Arabidopsis thaliana: one gene and its partners. The protein of the gene in region 2 binds, or shares a complex with, the protein of the main gene of each other region. Each region holds a gene or a part of one and is shown on either strand. Other genes may lie near its edges.

Evidence for each region. Proteins that work in one complex are often made in the same cells at the same time.
Region 1: AT1G64510 (region 2) and PSRP3/1 share a complex: the UniProt entries of both Arabidopsis thaliana proteins name them as parts of the 30S ribosomal subunit.
Region 3: AT1G64510 (region 2) and rps8 share a complex: the UniProt entries of both Arabidopsis thaliana proteins name them as parts of the 30S ribosomal subunit.

Annotation. Positions count from the first base shown.
Region 1 is NC_003070.9:25,756,370-25,760,370, reverse strand, and holds PSRP3/1 (Ribosomal protein PSRP-3/Ycf65), read left to right. Parts: upstream 1-1,959; 5' UTR 1,960-2,201; coding exon 2,202-2,426; intron 2,427-2,502; coding exon 2,503-2,778; 3' UTR 2,779-2,944; downstream 2,945-4,001. Other genes in the region: AT1G68600 (aluminum activated malate transporter family protein), read right to left, coding at 118-424; AT1G68585 (uncharacterized protein), read right to left, coding at 2,945-3,099, 3,186-3,267, 3,347-3,460. UniProt on the Arabidopsis thaliana protein: Component of the chloroplast ribosome (chloro-ribosome), a dedicated translation machinery responsible for the synthesis of chloroplast genome-encoded proteins, including proteins of the transcription and translation machinery and components of the photosynthetic apparatus.
Region 2 is NC_003070.9:23,953,717-23,958,856, reverse strand, and holds AT1G64510 (Translation elongation factor EF1B/ribosomal protein S6 family protein), read left to right. Parts: upstream 1-2,552; 5' UTR 2,553-2,579; coding exon 2,580-3,032; intron 3,033-3,621; coding exon 3,622-3,864; 3' UTR 3,865-4,054; downstream 4,055-5,140. Other genes in the region: RPN12a (regulatory particle non-ATPase 12A), read right to left, coding at 737-877, 967-1,078, 1,174-1,437, 1,518-1,620, 1,915-1,993, 2,294-2,398; AT1G64500 (Glutaredoxin family protein), read right to left, coding at 4,481-5,140. UniProt on the Arabidopsis thaliana protein: Binds together with bS18 to 16S ribosomal RNA.
Region 3 is NC_000932.1:79,034-82,444, forward strand, and holds rps8 (ribosomal protein S8), read right to left. Parts: upstream 1,440-3,411; coding exon 1,035-1,439; downstream 1-1,034. Other genes in the region: rps11 (ribosomal protein S11), read right to left, coding at 1-343; rpl36 (ribosomal protein L36), read right to left, coding at 456-569; rpl14 (ribosomal protein L14), read right to left, coding at 1,663-2,031. UniProt on the Arabidopsis thaliana protein: One of the primary rRNA binding proteins, it binds directly to 16S rRNA central domain where it helps coordinate assembly of the platform of the 30S subunit.

The DNA.
Region 1 (4,001 bases), 1.8 Mb from region 2:
TAGATTTGCTTCACATGCGCAAGTGTCTTGAGTTCAAGATTCCAACAAAACATAAAAACAAAACTCAAAGATCCAATCAAAGGATCATAAACTAGGCTATGAGTTAAGAATCAATACCGACGTAATACTCGAAAATGAGAACGACGGTGAGAATCGCCCAAACTGCGAATTTACTAGCATCTTGAAGCGGCTCTTTGAGAAAGATGACGAAAGAACAGAGTGCCAAAGCAATTCCCATCTTGATGGAGAAGTAAAGTTTCCTACGATCAGAATGTCCCAGCGCGTACAACTTCGCCGGAGCCTCGTAGAGAGCCCTCCACGAGCAACACCGGAACTTGGAGTCACGGCTATCAGCGACGTCGCTTGACTGCCAGAGAAGCTTCTCTGTGTTTTGCTCCGGTACTGATCCCATTTTACCTCCCATTAGAAATGATTCTGACAATTCTACAGAACCTGAGAGATTCTTGTCGTCCTTACGAATAGAAAGATGTTTATTTATCTATTTATCAAGATTTGTTTTGTACTACGCAATTAATGCATGCCTTCGATTCATCATCTCTAAATAATCAAGTTTTTTTAAAAAATTTACAATTTGGTGCATCTACATTACAAATTTTAATAATTGTCCGATTTATAACTTTGATGTTTTTGGTTGAAATCTAATCATTAACATATTAACCACCAAAAGTGTCCAAATTTTTTGAAACAGATGGAATTTAAAACGTGAGAATTTACATTTGTGGACCAGTAATGCATAAATGGACCGGTAAGGCCGTAATATGATTTTTTGTGACTATTAGTTATTCAGTAAAAAAATTAAAAATAGAATTATATTATTTCTTAATTTCTGTTCAATGTGTTAATGTTTCTTAAACTGTAGACTTTACCTTTTTGGCTCAGCTACATAATATTTTTTCATAGTTACCCGATTTAGTAAGTTTTTTTGTTGAATCTAAACATCAACATAATTCATTGTGACCAGTAAAAGTGTCGCAGAAATAACAACAGATATCTATGGATAAACAACCTGAGAATTAACTATAGTGGACGTGTGTAATGTAAATGGACCAATAATGTGACGGTGAACAAATTTACACACATATCTTAAAGTCTCTTCAAGTTCAAGACTCTAATAATTGAATTACAGACCCACAGTTTTGGAGAAGTTGCAAGTATCAAAGAGACGACAAGTTTCATGGTCGTGACTTGTGTGAATGTGACATTTTGAAACTCCTACTTACTACCGCATCGCATCTTACTACTTCCTAACTATGCTCAAAAGCCAAGCCCTACCCTACACAGTGTACCCACCCTCACATGAGATTTTTCCTACTTTTTTTTGAGAAACAACAATTATTTATGTATTTTGGGTGAGTTTGATTGTTTTATCCAATTATTGTATGCTGAAAATAAAAAATATCGTGTGCACATTATATAATAACTACGATGTAAGAAGTATTTCAAACTTTTACTATATATACTCATCGAATGATGTTCATGAATGACCATCATGGTGTCTTTCTCCTTAAAGGCTTTCTCATCTCATCTATCCAGTGCTACTTCAAGTCCAAAGAAAGACTCTTCTTTGGCCTCAGCAAACCTGTGAAAATAAAGAAGACGATTTTTTAAGATGAATCATGTGACATAATGTAAAAAGAATCATGTGACATATATAATGTAAAGGCCACTTTCTCAACAATTATTTGTTTTTGATAAATAAATAAAACAAATTGAGGACATCTTGCAGCGTACAATATCGATAATTATATTTTGTTAAAAATTGTGTTTTGATTAATACAAAAATTTATTTCACACAAAAAAATTTATTGACTTTGATCAAATCATGAACACTAAACAAAGATGAGGTTTTTAATTTTTGTATAAATACTTGTGGCTGTCAAATGTCATTCGAATTAAATATGATATGATTAATACTTATATGTTGAGATCTTTGAATTAGTCCCTCGAAAATACTTGAAACAGAGTCTGTATTTTTAAAAGTCTACTTCTCAAAGCTTCAGGTTTGTATTCATGGGCTTATAATAAACTCTGTATTCTTGACCCATTTAATGATGGGCCAAGTCAACAAAGCCCATAAATTTGATAGTCAAACTACTTTGAAACTCCACCCAAAAATGTGACCATATCTTCCTTATCCATATTCTCACAAAATCTCCATTGTTCTCTGAGAAAACACAAAAATGATGTCATCAATGGCACTCTCTTCTACTTCCCTCTGCTCTTCTTTCATCTCTCAACATCCAAAACTCTCCATCACTGCTTCTCCTCCATTGTTCCATACCCAAACAACCAAACCCATCTCTGTAAAACGGAAAATCATAACTCTAGCAGCTCCAGAGACACTCACCGCTGAAACAGTCACCGGAATTGATACTTCCGACAACACTCCACAACAAACAATAAAGGTAAAAACAACATATTCTTCTTCATCTTCTTGTCTCTTGTGTTACAAAACCCACAAATCTTTGTTGTTTGTGTTAGGTGGTGAAGCCAGATGAGAAATCAAGAGTGGTACTCAAGTTTGTGTGGATGGAGAAGAACATAGGATTAGGATTGGACCAACATGTACCTGGACATGGCACAATCCCACTTAGTCCTTACTTCTTCTGGCCTAGGAAAGATGCTTGGGAAGAGCTTAAGTCTACTCTTGAAGCTAAACCATGGATCTCTCAGAAGAAGATGATCATTCTTCTAAACCAAGCCACTGATATCATCAATCTCTGGCAACAAAGTGGCGGCAATTTAACTTCTCAATAATCTCTTTTTTGATTTCTGCATTTCAAGAATTCACTTTGTCTATGATTATTATTGCTATTGAGAGTTTTTTGTTTATCTAAACAATATCCAATCACATTCGACATAAAAGATTCATTTTATTGGAAAGAGAAAATGATAATAAAAGCAAACATCAAGCAACTCTGAGTTATTGTTTCCTTGAAGGACATATCAAACGCTTGATGGTTGAGATTTTGCAGAGAAGAGCTTCACCATAGGATTTAGAGACTCTCCGGTCACCGGAATATGTACACGTTAGTGTCACTTTCTTCTCCAACACACTCACCAATATTGAATATGTTTCTGCTCCAAGAAAACAGAGGAAACAAGCGTGAGAGGAAAGAACAAAAAAGTGTCTCATCTCGGAAGTAAGTAAGCTATATACTCACCGATCATCCTCGCCATTATGTCGGCGACTTTCTCTTGGCAGTCACTACATCTGATGTCTGCTGATAGAACAATCTCCTGAATCTGATAACACACAAGATCAATTAAAAGAATCCACAGAGTTGAATCATTCTAAGACAAAAGTGTTAAGAGAGTAACGAACAAGTGGCATGGATAACGATGCGACAGAAGCGAGACTGGTTTCACTTGTTCTTGAAAGCTTGCTTCTTAGTGATGGTTCAAGTTCCTCCTCGACGATTTGAGACAGAGTAGCCATGACACTCTCGTTGCACAGAGAAGATAGATAAAACAGGAAATGAAGAATCCTATAGAAACAGTCTCTTGTACAAGGAAAGATAAGTAAAACAAAAATCTAGAATCCTAAAGAAACCACCAAACCAAGAGTGGGAAACGAAGAGTGTCGCTATCCGAAAAGGATGAGTTAGCAAAACTAGTGACAGAGGAAGCCCATCTTTGCTTTTGCTTTAATCTTTGGAGAAAACTAAGTTTAGAGACTCAAGAGACATGTTAACACACAATAGAGATATAATATATGCTTTGGATCCATGACTTAGTGTCCATTAATCTGAGTAAGAAAGTCAAGTTCTTTTGGCTCCTCTTTATTTCCTCTACATTGTTTGAAAAAGATGCTTCACTCACCAAAATGCAACCCCACCAAAATCATTCAAGTTGGAGGATTCTGACTTGGTCTTAAACGAATTTAAATAGCTTACCTTTTTCACCTTACCCTACCTTTTGGTAAGCCAATCATCTATAGCACAACAAGAGATGATAATAGGTAAAAGTTTAAAATGGTG
Region 2 (5,140 bases):
TTAAGCCCTTTTGCAATACATAAAATTTTTATTAACAGTAACTTGTTTTCCTAGTGGGGACATCTAATCGTGATTATTCTTTCTTTTAATGTTATAATAACTTCCCTAATTTGTTATTTAGCTGTTAATCAATATTTTAACCCCAAGGAGAAGAAATGCTTGCAACGTAAATCCCCACTTGTTTCAAGTTGATGAGTGTTTGGCAATTGACAATTGTGTGTCCCTTGTTCTGTAATGACAATCCTTCCTTCCTTCTTCCATATTTGGACTAGGTTGTTCATCAAAGGAAGGAAGGCCCCGGCTACACTACGTTAGAGGCTCTCCAAATCTGTCCTTTTCATCCACAACTAAACCAAACCCAAATTCAAATAACCAAACTGAACTAAAACATTCCACCGCAAACCAAACCGAAATTGAGTATCCCGGACCACGGTAACTCTGAATTCCAAACTATACCTAGTTTTGAACACCCCTAGAATTATGGACATCATGTTCAAGCAAAGCATCAAAGTGAGGAGGACAGAGTCTCCAATTGAAAACGAGTGAACACTAAACAATAGAATATAACGTAAAAGGATATGGAAAAACAGATTGATATCACAACAAAGTCTCATTGACCCGGAGAAAATACTGAGTCGCTCAATATCGGTCATTACATGATAACAAAGTTTTCTGACCCAGAGATTTCCAGGAACATAACAGAAGAGAAGAGACAAGCAGTGAGAAAAGTCGAATCTTACACGATACGCTCCAGCTCTCTGGCGTAGCTTAGAGTCTGGTTGATGAGTTGCAGAGACGGAATCTCTTTGCACGGTGCAGTTTCTTTGGCTTTCTGGAAGACAACAAACCCTTCCTTCACTTCCCACTCAGGATGCTCCTATAAGATTTGATAAAACCTAAATCGCGTCAATGGTTCATGAAACTAAAAAAGATTCTAAACTTTGCACAAAATGTTTTTTCTCTTACATCTGTGACATAGGTTAAGAGTTCTTGATCAGAAGAGAACAACAACATCTGCCGGGCATCGCTGATAGAGACATAATCATAAGCTTTCTCGCTGCATCCAGCTATTTCATCTCTGTGAATTCAGTCATAACAATAAAAAGGTGAGATAACACGCGAGAAGACATAAGACTGAACTAATTCAGAGAAGGACAGACTCATTGATGCTACCTTATGGTCTTTGCCAAGAGATCCATGAAATAGACGTAAGTTGCATCAGGCGCGGTCTGTCTAGCACTCAACACACGGTTATAGGCACCCTCCATGAAGGATTGCTCAAGCTCTACTGCATGCTTGATGCAAGGATCCTCTAGTGTAGCTGATGAAAGTAATTCAAGCTCGGTGTGGAATTCAGCAATTCTATTTTGTACCAGCAGCCTCAGAAGGTTAAGACCCAGGATAAGATTCTCCTGTGGAGACTGAGGAATACGGTTCCTGGTGCAGAGGAAAAGAAGATATGTTAGACCAAAAGAAAATGAAAAAGATAATGTTCAGACAGTTGGTTCTTTCTTTACCTGGCATCCACATAGTAAGGTTTCAGCTGGAAGAAATCTCTCTCAAAAGCATCTTGATCCTCGGTTTTGACGCTTAGAACAACAGCATGCTCATAAATGTCCCCTAGAATACACCAATTGTCAAAGTTTTAGAAACGGATAATCAATAAGAACAAAAATTACCAATAACTCAATCCAAACCAATGCAGCATTCAACGATTAATGTATACATATAGGGATAGACAGACAAACTAAAGCAGTACAATCCCTCAGACACTCTTCAGTGGTATTTAAGTATAGTTAACAAATAACTCATGAGAATAGACAAATCCAAAACACTCCATGCAATTGAAAGCAAAACTCTAAACTTACTAGCAAATAGCTCATGTAAAACCAATAATGAAAAAGAGAAACTTACTTGCAATAGTCAATTCCTTGGCTGCATTAGGTGAATTCTCGAACAATGGAGGAAGACTTGTGAATTTGGTAAGAAGAACCTGAAGAACACAACAAAACCCCAGCGACATCAGAGACTCGCACCAGTAAATTGTAAATCTAAACCAATCCCAACAATCCCTTAAAGTAGAAAGTTAAAAATTTCATAGCACTTAGCTCTTCTAAAAGATCCTTAACACACTTATATGCTAAAAATTCTCACTTCAATAAATCAAAGCTCTCATAGATTTAAACTCTCGCGACATAACCCATCAATTTTCCCAAAGTTGGTTCAATAAGCAGATATGCAAAGAAGTGAATTGAAACAAATTAGGGTTCAAAGAAGAGAGAGAGATGTAGACCTTAAGCTGAGACAACAGATCGCTACAGGTATTGTAATCCTTCCTCGCAAACGCCGCCTTGAATCTCTCGAACTGCTGTGAAACTTCAGTTAGCTGCGGATCCATCGCTTCTATGGTTTTTTCTCTTCACCGGCGACGATTCTTTTCTTATAGATTTGATTGCTCCGAGAACTGGCTTGATCGCGAAGACAAATAATACAGATAGAAATAATTGTCTTTACAAAACGGGCCTTTAACAGGCCCAATAACCTAAAAAGGCCCATGGTGTACAATAGAATTCTGACTAATGTGTACCATCATCATCTCTTATCCAAATTTTACTCTCTCATCTCCTCTTTGCTTTCACAATCTCACAACAATGGCGTCTTCGCTGTGTGTATCAAATTCCACAATTTGCCCTCTGCCTAATGTATCTTCGCAGCCGCTGCTATCATTCTCCCACTCTCTCAGGCCATTCATTTCCAAGTCGAAACCTATGTGTGCCTCGATACAGAAGAGAGATGGCTCTCAATTTGTGGTGAAATCTCAGGCTCTTGACTTCTCTGGAACTTTCTTTGAAGGTGGATTCGGGTCGGATGATGACCCGACTTCTCCTTCCGGGTCGGGAGTCTCAACTGCCCTTGAAGACAAACCGGAACCTCAGTGCCCACCTGGGCTCAGGCAGTACGAAACAATGGCGGTTTTGAGACCAGACATGTCTGAAGATGAACGGCTTGGTCTTACCCAGAAATACGAAGAGGTAAGTAAAAGTCTCCAACTTTACCTGTTTTCTGTTTCATGTCAGAGGGAAATTTGATTATTTGAGAGAGAAAGAGATTTTAGGATTCAATTAGAAGTTGAGTAAGAGATCACTAAAAGTTGTATCTTGTGTCTGTTCTTACACGTTAATGACAAAGCAAGAGAAAATGGTTTCAATGTAGAGTTGTGTAACTTGCAGCTATCAATTGAATGTTTGTGACGACTCCTTGTTAAAATTGAAGTAAAGAGTTTAACTTTCTAAGAGCAAATCTCATCCTTCTGTGGGCTGTGAATTCTTTAAGTCTCAACCATTTGAAACAAGATAGGAGCCCTTAGTGCACTTCTTAGTTTTTTAGTCATGTTTTACCATAACATTTTAACTCAATTCTTGAAATGTCCTTTGATGCTCGAAACGAGCTAATACACAGTTATCATTTGTGGTTTACGCGTGGGTTCTTTTACGCTATATCACATGTTTAATCTAATGAGGAATTCTGAAATTTATGTTCGGAGTAGTGGAAGTTTTTAGTTGGTGCAGACTCTGAAAGATTCATTATGTTGCTGGGATTTCTTTTTGGTGTGTGTGGCAGTTGCTTGTGGCAGGAGGTGGAATGTATGTGGAAGTGTTTAACAGAGGAGTGATTCCGTTGGCTTACAGCATAAGAAAGAAGAACAAAGCTGGAGAAACCAACACTTACTTGGATGGAATCTACCTTCTCTTCACTTACTTCACCAAACCCGAATCAATAGTTCCACTCGAGACCGTTCTCACTGCCGACGATGACATTATCCGATCATCTTCCTTCAAGATAAAGAAGAGGAAGTACAACTGAAGACCATGAACATTGTGTATGTGAGAAAAATGTCAGATTCTTTTTTTGTTTCTTTGTAAGAACAAAAGTAAATCTATCTTTTTTGTATCTTTTTTTGTGCATTGCTCTGCTTTCTTATGTAACTGTGAGAAACTCTTAAAGCTAAGTTTGAGAAGCATACTTGTATGCATTTTCATTAAAAGATTTTAACTAACACTAACTTGCCATAGTTACTATAATGATGGAATTCATATTACTCTGTTTCATAGCACAAAATCCTCAACGGATGCATAACAATCAAACAAAATAGCAACAAAGAACAAATTTGTAAAGTATTCAGGCAGAAGTGACTTTGTTTGCCAGCTTTTACCTTCTGACGATCCAAACTTAAATTAGTGAGATTGTTGAACTCCTTTACGTAATTGATCAAAACCATCAACATATACGAGTGAGAGACCTTGCAAGCTTAGCATTATAATGGTTCACGTTCATGCTTTAACATTTTATGAAAATCCTAGCATAGTTTCAAATCATTTTCAATTCCACAAAATCAAACGTGTCACATACATATAACAAAACAAACGGGACAAAGTATATTTGACACACCTCTATTTGCTTGTGTAAACTAATAATGTTCTTAATTAACAAAACACACGGGACAACGAATCAATCCATTCTCATTACACTTGACACACCTCTCCCACCTTTCACCTTTGGCCGCCCCAACCGCCGCCACCTTACAGCTTCCGCCGCACTCGAAACAAGGCAACCACCTCGCTCCTCCGCACCCTTCACACGTGAGCCTCCCTTCCTCCCCTACTCTCTCCACACGTGCCCACCGCAACACCCTCCCTAACTTCCCGTTCTCATTCATCGCTGTCACTTCCGCTGCTCCTCCCAAGTACCTCCCTTTCACAAACACTCGCGGCGGCGCCACTGATGCTTCGTCTTGGAGAAGCTCCTTAAGCTCGCTCAAGACTCCGGCGTCTAAAGACACGTCCCTCTCGTCCACCACAACTCCTTGCTGCTCCATGATGGCCCTCACACGCATACAATCCTCGTACGTGCGACGCACTCCTTGCAACGACGTCGTGTAGACAATCAAACCTTCCCCTCCTCCCGGCGGACACTTCTCCGGGAACTCCCTAAGTGGGTCCCAGTTCATCACCGGCTTCTTGTTCCCTTCTTTCTCCCTCCGTTCTCTGTCTCTCTTGACGAATATGTTCTCCTTCACTGACCGAGGCCCCGAGTAGGACGACTGAGTGGACTCGGTTCGATCATCTGACTCGGGTCTTAG
Region 3 (3,411 bases), on a different chromosome or scaffold from region 2:
GTATACCGCTTCTACGAATAGCTCGTAATGCCGCATCTCTTCCGAGTCCAGGGCCTTTTATCCTTACTTCAGCTCGTTGCATACCTTGATCCACTACTGCTCGAATAGCATTTCCTGCTGCGGTTTGGGCAGCAAAGGGTGTTCCTCTTCTTGTACCCCGGAATCCACAAGTACCTGCGGAGGACCAAGAAATCACCCGACCCCGTACATCTGTAACGGTTACAATGGTATTGTTGAAACTTGCTTGAACATGAATAACTCCCTTTGGTATTCTACGTACATTTTTACGTGAACCACTACGTGTATTTTTACGCGAACCAATTCTTAATATAGGTTTTGCCATTTTTTTTCATTTCACAAGAAATATATGGATATATCCATTTCAGGTCAAAATAGACCCTTTTTTCCAACTCTTTGGAAGTGCCTTTTCTTTTACTTTAGTTCCTTTAGTAAGATTATCCTTGTCTTTGTTTATGCCTCGGGTTGGAACAAATTACTATAATTCGTCCCCTCCTGCGGATTAGTCGACACTTTTCACAAATTTTACGAACGGAAGCCCTTATTTTCATAGTTGTTATTCCTTAATTCTGTGAATATATTTATTGGTGGACGAAAAAAAGGTTTCTTGATATTTTTGAATCTTGAATTGTATCTTCGTGAAAGGAATGGTTGAAATTGAAAAAACACTTACTCATTTGAATACTTATTATGGAGTCTAGAAAATGGCTGTCCCCTTATTAACTTATACTTAAGAACTTACTCAAAATTTTACCTTTTTATCCTATAGGTATACCTATACAAAAATATGTCGAATCCTTTCAGAAGCATGAACGAAAAAAAATCTTTAGTATCTAAACAAAATCGAACCATGCCGTTCGGAAGTGATTAAGAAAGAAAACTTTTATTAATTCATTTTTTCTTTAATTTCATTCGAAGTAAAACATCCGAAACTTTTTTGAACAGGGGTGGTATTACACAACCCCCTTTTTTCACAAATTGTAAGTTACAGATATCTAATTTTTATATTAGAAGGATTACCATATATAACACAAAATTTCTCCGCCGATTCTTTTTAGTCGAGCTTCTCGGTCTGTCATTATACCTTGAGAAGTCGAAAGGATTACAATTCCTATTCCGCCTAAAATTCGTGGAATTCGTTGAGAGTTAGAATAGATTCGTAGACCCGGTCGACTTATTCTCTTTAAATTTAAAATCGTTTTGTAGGATTCTTTCTTATTTCGTCTATGTCTTAGGGTTAAAATCAAAAAATATTGGTTGTTTTCGCGATGTTTCCTTACGTTTTCGATAAAACCCTCTCGTAAAAGGATTTTAACAATACTTTCCGTGATGTTAGTCGATCCTATCCGAACCGTTCCTTTTCTATTCATGTCAGCATTTCGTATAGAGGTTATTATATCAGCAATGGTGTCTTTCCCCATGATAAGTTAAAATTCCTTATTGTTCTATAATTTTGATATAATCAACATGTTCTTTTTCTTTTATTTATATATAGATATAGACGAATTATATATTAATATATGAATTAAATTCTTAATATTTTATTATTAAGGGTATATGCGTGATACAGAATCTATTAATTAATTTTATTTCAATACCTGTTTTTTTAATCCGATACTAACTATCGCTATCGATATTTAGATCTTATAATACCTCAGGAGCTAATGAAACTATTTTAGTAAAGTTTAATTGTCTCAATTCCCGTGGGATCGCCCCAAAAACTCGAGTTCCTTTTGGATTTCCTTCTTGATCAATGACAACTGCGGCATTGTCATCATATCGTATTATCGTCCCATTGTTACGTTTGAGTTCTTTACAAGTACGTACAATTACAGCTCTAATCACTTCTGATCTTTCTAGAGGAGTATTTGGTATTGCTTCTTTGATTACAGCAACAATAACGTCACCAATATGAGCATATCGGCGATTACTAGCTCCTATTATTCGAATACACATCAATTCTCTAGCCCCGCTGTTGTCTGCTACATTCAAATAGGTTTGTGGTTGAATCATATCATTTTTTTTGTATCTCTTCTTTTAATGCAAAGGACGAAGTAAAAAAATATTGTTTGTCAAAAAAAGAAAACTTATAATCTTTTTACCCTTAAATGTTATTTAGTTTTTTCATTATATATTCCTATTCAGAAATAATGAATTGGGTTTTTATAGGCATTTTTGATGCCGCTATTGAAATAGCTTTTCTTGCTATATTTTCGGGTACACCACCCATTTCATAAAGGATTTTACCTGGTTTAACCACAGCTACCCAATACTCAGGGGATCCTTTCCCAGAACCCATACGCGTTTCCGCAGGTCTTACTGTAACTGGTTTGTCTGGAAATATACGTACCCAAATTTTTCCACCACGTCGTACATTTCGTGTCATTGCGCGTCGCCCTGCTTCTATTTGTCTAGATGTGATCCAAGCGGGTTCAAGTGTTTGAAGAGCATATCTGCCAAAACAAATACGATTCCCACGAGAAGATATTCCTTTTAGTCTTCCTCGATGTTGTTTACGAAATCTGGTTCTTTTTGGGTTATAGTTGATGGTTCTAAATTAGAAATTCCATCTCTACTACAGAACTGAACGTGAGAGTTTCTTCTCATCCAGCTCCTCGCGAATAAAAGGACTAAAAAAGCTTGTATTAAGATATAGTTAATGATTAATTCTATTAATCATGATATTCAATTTCATCTGATCTCTTCTAAATTTGTGTATGTCTTTTTCGAAATGGAATCCAAGATTAATTCTATTTATTTAAAAATAACGTAACGTAATATCATCATCTCGAATGTCGTTTTTGTTAGAATATTCTAACAAATCCTTATTTTCTTTTATCTTTTTAATTTTTGTTTTTTATTACTTTTATTAAAAAAAAAGTATTCGCCGGCGAATATTTACTCTTTCAATATCTATATTAAGTTTGTTGTTTATCCCAGGAGATCTCTGAATAAAAATAAGAATAGATAATAATCTGGTTTATTCCGCCATCCTGTCCAATGAATTACTAAGATTTATTTTTCAATAGAATCCTCTATATTCATGGGTTCCGTCGTTCCCATCGCTTCTTGATTAATCATTAGGCCCGAATTCTACAATGGAGCTCTTATATGAAATCGGGAATTTCATTTTTTTTATTTGTTTTTGAGTCAATTTTCTTAGTTTTTATTGGCTCAAGGCTCTTAATTTTTTTTGTTTTCGGAACAGATTTATCTAATTATTCTGAATGAATCTGTATTGATGCTTTATTACATTGCTTTTCTTACAGTGACCTCATAGACTTTCCAAATTGGAATAATATATCATTAATATTCAATTTTTTCTCTCTTTCTTTCATCCTTCCACTGAATCCGCATACTTTTCGATTACCTTTCATAACTTATAATTATAGT